2 linked regions of the Rattus norvegicus genome follow. The protein of the gene in region 1 purifies or fractionates together with the protein of each later gene. This does not show direct contact. Links are inferred from orthologs where the notes say so. Each region holds a gene or a part of one and is shown in the gene's direction. Other genes may lie near its edges.

Evidence for each region.
Region 2: the proteins of Med9 (region 1) and Med21 purify together in Homo sapiens (co-immunoprecipitation; 8 studies listed by BioGRID and IntAct, counting the BioPlex papers as one, with this or other methods). This does not show direct contact. The link is inferred for Rattus norvegicus from reciprocal best matches to the Homo sapiens genes MED9 and MED21.

What each region holds. Positions count from the first base shown.
Region 1 is NC_086028.1:45,262,857-45,265,499, forward strand, and holds the end of Med9 (mediator of RNA polymerase II transcription subunit 9), read left to right. Parts: intron 1-465; coding exon 466-682; 3' UTR 683-2,132; downstream 2,133-2,643.
Region 2 is NC_086022.1:181,289,959-181,294,080, forward strand, and holds the start of Med21 (mediator of RNA polymerase II transcription subunit 21), read left to right. Parts: upstream 1-1,315; 5' UTR 1,316-1,344; coding exon 1,345-1,386; intron 1,387-4,122. UniProt on the Homo sapiens protein: Component of the Mediator complex, a coactivator involved in the regulated transcription of nearly all RNA polymerase II-dependent genes.

The sequences.
Region 1 (2,643 bases):
GAACCTGAGACTTGCTGTTTCAGCCTGTTTCTACACCCCCATCCCATCCCAAGGCTGAGCTGGGTTTATATCACGTGTGTCCCTGCTTTTACATGAATGGTGGAGCTCCAAACTCGGGTTGTCATACTTGTGCAAGTGCTCTTTACCCACAGTTGTCCTATGTGTAGGGCCAGGTTGGTGAGACAGCTGTGACGAAGCCAAGTTGGTCCCTGCCATCATCGAGAATTTTAAGTATCTGACTTGTCAGGTGTGCTCATTGGGAGTGTTTTTATGAGCTTAAAGCTAAAGAACAAAACAAATAAAAGACCAATCCCTGTCTTCTGGGGTAGGTAACCTAGTAAGGGAACAGACATGTCTGACAACATTCTAAAAGTCATCAGAGGTGTAGAACAAGGAAGCCATTGTGGAAATGAGCTACACATGCTAATAACTGACTGACTGCCCTCTACTCCCCCTGTCACCCAGCATGGACAAGGACAGCCCGGATCTCCACCAGGACCTGAACGCCCTCAAAACAAAGTTCCAGGAGATGCGGAAGCTCATAGGCACCATGCCTGGCATCCATGTGAGCCCTGAGCAGCAACAGCAGCAGCTACACAGCCTCCGAGAGCAAGTCAGGACCAAGAATGAGCTTCTGCAGAAGTACAAGAGCCTCTGCATGTTTGAGATCCCCAAGGAGTAGGACCAGCTCCTAGCAAAGCTGCCAACAGACTGAAAGCGTCACACTGTGCTGTCCAGCTCCTTGGGAGCCCAGCTCTAAACTGTGAGGCCACATGTGGCTGGTGTGGGGCCTGGGTGGCTCTACTCAGCCTCCACTCTCTATGCCTTGGGCCTCATCAGAGGGAGAGGGGGTAGCTGTTCCCTTCCTCCCTGAGCTCCTCCCACTCCCACTATCAGCATGGCATCAGGTACATACTGTTCCCATCAACAGCAGTTTCATGAAGCATTTGCATAGAATTCACGGGGTAAATTAGGCCTGCACTCAGATGGCATGGATTTATTATAATTAAAGAAGGCTGTGAGAGTATGAATATTGTGTTGAAAGGCCAGAGGGTGGGTGGCTTCTCCCCCAAAACAGTTCACTTCCTTTTTTGTTTGAACAACTGAATGAAACTGTATCTCTGGGGGCGTCAGCCCAGAGCTCTGCCAACCAGCCTCCAGCTTCAGTCGCTGGCCTCCTGCATCTCGCCTCACCTTGTAGGCTCGGCTGCCTTTGTCTCCATCACTTCAGGCAGTGCTCAGAATAGCCAGCGCACTGCTTGCCCGGGGCCCTTCGTCCTTCTTCCCATGCTGGTTCAGAGAGGCGGTTAAGTAAGCGGCTCTGCCCTGATTCATGCCTCGTCCTCTCCGCTCTCACCAAGGAGTCAGCCATACTTGCTACCCTGTACATGGTCTCTGCACACTTCTAGTTTGGAGCAGAGTTGCTGGCAGGAGCAGTTGGGGGCAGTTTCTCAGCCAGGGGATGTGTGGTTTAAAGGGCATGGGGAGCTAAGTCTGGAGGTGCCATCGCTGTGTTCTACTTGTAGAGAGTGCCCAGCGAGTCCCAGGTAGCACACTGTGTTCTCTGTCTCCCAGGGACTGTTACACTGAGGGCGCCATGGCCCTTTCCTTCTCTCAGGAGGAAGGTGAGAAGTACCCAGGATTGTTTGGATCTTGAAATGGGCACAGCCTGGGCTCAGCTTAGGACTTAGCAGGTGCCTGCCAACTGGCTTTGTTGGCGGAGTGCTGGCTGGGGTGTTGTTGGCGGAGTGCTGACTGACCGGGGTGTTTTAGCAAACGTTCTGTCTGTCCAGGACGCTTCACACTTGGGACCTGGAATGTCAGTGGTTTGGGCAGAAAAGTGGACTCTGAGTTTGAATAGAGGGTGACAATGAAGCCACCTCTGCCTTGGGGCTGTCCTTTAACCCAGTCAGTTCCTTTCTGCCAAGGCGAAGCAGTGGCTGGACCAGCTTTAAGGCTCTGCCCAGTTCCTGTAAGGGCAGAGCACGTGAAATGCAGGAGCTTCGGATCTTCCTGACAGGGAAGAAAGAAGGCTTCCTCGAAGGGCTGGAGGCTCGGAGGCTTCTCTGTTCCAGTGTGTTGACCTGTCATGTTTTCACATATGTAATTAAAAGTATGTTCTGTTCTCAGGACACATGGTTTGCCTGTTGTCTCTGTCTCTCTCAGGGCTAGCAGTCAGACCCTGGGATTGCAGGTCTTTAAAATGAAGAATTAGAGTGGTGTGTTGAGTGGGTGGTGTAGAGGCAAAAATGTTCACTGCGCTCCTCCTTCCGCCCAGCATGTACATCTGTTAAATGAGCACAAAGCCTACACGTCTCCCGCAGGGGACCCTGGGGAGCCCAGCCATTCATTGTTGAGAAGTGAGTGCCTTTCTGAGATTTGAGGAGGTACAGTTCCCTGCAAGTGGCCCTTCCCAAAGCAGGGTTGACAAGACCCTTCCTCCCCCGGTCCCAAGACAATTTTGAGCATCCCCGAAGGTCAAGACCCTGGAAAAACCAAGTATTTGGCTGGGCGGCTGCAGCAGTTGTGCTGACTCCTTGGAGACCATGTTGACCCCTGCACAGAGTGCCTCGATTTCTCAGCTGCAGAATTGGAGACTTGGAAGGCGACACTTGCCCTAAGTTGACCGTAGGAGTGGCAAGG
Region 2 (4,122 bases), on another chromosome or scaffold:
TTTTGTGCTTGAAAGTTCGCCCTGAGGAAGACTCGGGGCTGTCCTAAGATCCTGAACACCCAGTAAGGTCGAAAGTTGGCTAATCACGACTATCTGTTGGCTTTAACCACATCTGAGGAGTCTTCTCTGGTGGATACCTCACAACAGCCTCCTCTGTTATGTCCTCCTCTGCTAGGGTTCACCAAGAAGGCTCTCTCAGGATGTTAGCACCTTGTTAGTGGACTTCTCAGCCTCCAGAACACTGTAGGGAGTAGATGTTCTTTGTAATTACTTGTCTGTGCTATTCGGTTGCAGCCACAAAAGACTGGCTCACAAACCCACCCACCTCTAACTCCAGGAATGATCAGCCTGGAAATTAAAAGAGTTTGTCCGACGTCCCCGAACCAGGTATTTGCAGATTCAGGACTCATTTCCCATCAAAATATCCCCAGGCTAACAGAAATAACCTTTCTGCTATACCCTTCATATGGAAAACTGTCAGGAAGCCCCAGTTCTAAACCTAAATTCTGAACCTGCCTAACTTACTTATTTTCCTGGAACCTCTGCTGACCAGAGCCTTTCCCTTTCCTCTCAATCTGTCTTTTCCTCACAGTAATTTCCTCCAAGCCTGTGCTGACAATGAACCTCCCACCTTTTAATGCCCTTCTTCCTCCTTTTCAACTTTAGCTGTCATCCGTTCCTCAGCACAGCGCTGTTTAATGCTTTCCATTCCTGATGTGTCGTTTCCCCCCAGGGCACTCCTACTCCTACAGAATTAAAGCACAAATCTAGTCTCCAGTGGGGTAAGCACCTCCTACCCCAAACTAACAAGCCACCCTCTTCTATCCTTTTTTGATTGCCTGGACAACGTTACTATCTTGGGTTTAAATGTTGTGAATAGCTAACGTGTGTTGTGGCTAATGGTTGTAAATGGAGTGTATGCTTTGTGGTATACCTGGAAAGTAAAAGTAAAAAGTGTTCCAGATAATGCAAAACAAACAAACGATCGAAAACCAAAACTCCTCACAGACAAAACATGTTCCAGGACAGCCAGGACTACACAGCGAGGCACAGCCTCAAGAAAGCTAGCAGGAGGGAGGAAGCACGGTCCCTCCGCAGGCTCCGTCCAGCGTCTCCGCGAATTTGGGGCGGCTCCGCCTGTACGCGTCCCGCTCCGGCTCGCCAGCCCTGAATCCTACCCGCCTGACCTAAGCAGGCCGCAGCTAGCTCCGCCCCTCCCCGGCAGCGTGCTTCCTTAACCACGCCCCTCAAGGAGGGAGCCCTATGATTGGCCCACAGCCGTCATAAATTGGCCAATCGCGCGCTCTCGGGGAGCTTTTGCGCACCGCTGCGTGCGCGGAGAACATGGCGGATAGACTCACGCAACTGCAGGACGCTGTGAACTCGGTGAGGGCTTTCCTCTGTTCGCCAGCCTTTCTTTCTTGACGGGAAGAGAGGAGGAAGGGGCGAGGCGAGGCTCCGGGGAGCGTACAGGTTGAGGTCACCGCGGACGGCGCGCCCGGGAGGCCGGGGTCTCACGGAAGCCACGGGGCTAAGGAGACAGGCCTGCCCTGTGGGGGGACCCGGCCCGGCGGCCTGTCCTGAGAGGAGGCGCGACCCGCCGGTCTCTCTTGAGTGGGGTTGGACCCGGGGCCTCTCCTGAGGGGAGGTGGGAACTTGAGGAGGGGAACGAGTGGCCTGCACTAAGGATGGGACCGGACGGCTTCTCCTGAGCGGAGATCCTCGGCCAGGTATCCCGGAACGCGAGTACTCTAGTCCCAGGGATGCTTCTGGAACCTCTTTTGTGGGGCGGGACAAGCTTAAGCACTTTTGTGTATAATCCCTCACCCGCGTTTCAATTTGCCAAATGGATCCCACCTGTGATCGAACTCAGGCGGCTGAGACAGGAGGATTGCAACGAGCTCGGGGCCAGCCCGAGCTCCAGTTTGATATCCCATCTCAGAAAACAAAACAGAAAAGACCACAACAAAGTGTTGAGTGTTTGTAGGTTGGTGTATGAGTGGCCAGGGGGTGAGGTTGCTTTGGCCTTTAAAGGATGTGACTCCTCCGCTCTTGGCCACTCTGTCCCCAATAGTTGGAGAGTAACATCTTCTAGAGGAGTCTAGAACCTGGTTTCTCCATTTCTTTGCACTTGTTTAAGTCTGCTTTAGGGTCTTCCCTATGAATGTACACAAGGGATTTTTTTGTTTTGTTTTGAGATGGTTTTGCTGTGTAGCTCTGGCTGACCTGCACACCATGGAGACCAGGTTGGCAGTTAAAAACAAGAAAACAACTTGAGAATCATAAAATCCACAGCAAAAAGCTCCTGAAAACTAGCTTTTCAAACTCTATCCCCTCTGACTGTTATTCTTGCTAAATATACATGAATGGGAAGCTAAAAAAATACCGAGCCTGAAATGGTGACCCACACCTTTAATCCCTGACACTCAGGAGGCAGAGGTAGGCAAATCTGAGTTTGTGGCCAGCCTCAAAGTGAGTTCCAGTACTATGTACAGCCAGAGCTTTGTAGACAGACACCGACTCAAACAAGAATTTAAAAAGTACTTCTGCTTATTTCCATTAAGAATGCAACAGTTGTCCATTGGTAGTTAAAAATCTCTTCATGTCATTGAGGTTGAGTTTGATGTGGAAGTGCCTACAGAGTAGTGTATGCCTGCTGGAAAAAAATCCTAACACCTAGTCCCCTGGCCAGTGTTTTCCTTACAGGGATGTTATAACTTGACTTCTCGGTAATACATCACTTTGAGAGTGCTTTGAAATTGCGAATCCACTAGTAGGAAAACTAGCCTACTTTGTGCACATAAAGTGGTCTTAAAGTTGAGGGGCTATCTCTTAAATAAATGCTGATGAATTCGACAAGGTACGTTCTGTTTTACAAAGATTCCCTGAGCTACCAGCCAGCCTCTCCCTAGAAAACACTTCTTTGTGATTGCTTTACAAATCTTAATAAGGCTGTGTAGGAGCTTATCTCCTAAAAATGCATGCTCATGTAGGATACAACCATCTTGACTTATCATAGGTGGACTGGTAATCGAGTTAATATGGATGTCTACTGAGTCCATAGGTAATGTGTTTACAAAGAACTAGTCAAGGAGCTTACAAAGATGTCATAAACTCAAGAGACTTTTTAGATGATGCAAACAAACCCCATATGTGGCTAGGGAGTTAGAGTGAATTGTTTTCAGCTCTTAAGAGCTAAAGTAGATCGGAGCCTAGAGCGATATTAACTGTTTGGAAACTCCATGAGTACAGAAGCTATATCACGTTCATCTCTATAATATTTATGTGCAGTACTTGTCGTAGGGCTGGTTTTTCAATAAATATTTACAGATAAACAGTGATTCTTGAATGAACTTACAGAACAGGACACATGGCTACTGGATTGAAAAAGTTTCATTTGTATTTTTCTTTCTTATAACAGTGCTGCTAAGTAGAATACAGCAACTTAAAAAGCCACCCAGTTATCTTTTCAATGACAATTCAGATTTTTGTCATTGAAATAATAGTAGCAAAACAATGGAAATGTTTACTGATTGGAAGTAGTAAATGAGGTTTCAGAGTTAGGACTAGAGAGGACTGTGTTTAGTTTTGAATGGTGTGAACTAATATTCTCAAATTACTTAAATTCAGTGTTTTTTAGCTTTGCTTCTTTTGAGACAGAATCTTTTTTTTTTTCCCCTTCTTTTTTCTTTTTTTTTCGGAGCTGGGGACCGAACCCAGGGCCTTGCGGTTGCTAGGCAAGCGCTCTACCACTGAGCTAAATCCCCAACCCCTGAGACAGAATCTTATTATATAACTCTGGCTGGCATAAAACTGTCCACGTAGTCCAGGCTAGCTTCAAACTGACAGAGATCTGACTGCCTCTGTCTCCGCCTCCCACATGCTGAGATCCATCATGCCTCAACAAATGAATTGTAAGCAACAATGTTACAACTTGAGTCTTGAATACATTTCTGATAATTTACAGTAAAAAACATTTTTTTCATGTAGTACAAACTGGCCTCAAACTTCCTTATGTAGTTGAGGATGGTGACCTTGAACTGCTCTTCCTTGCCTCCCTCCTCCAGAGTATTGGGTTACATGTATATGCTGTTACTCCTAGATTTTTCTTCAGCGCTGGGG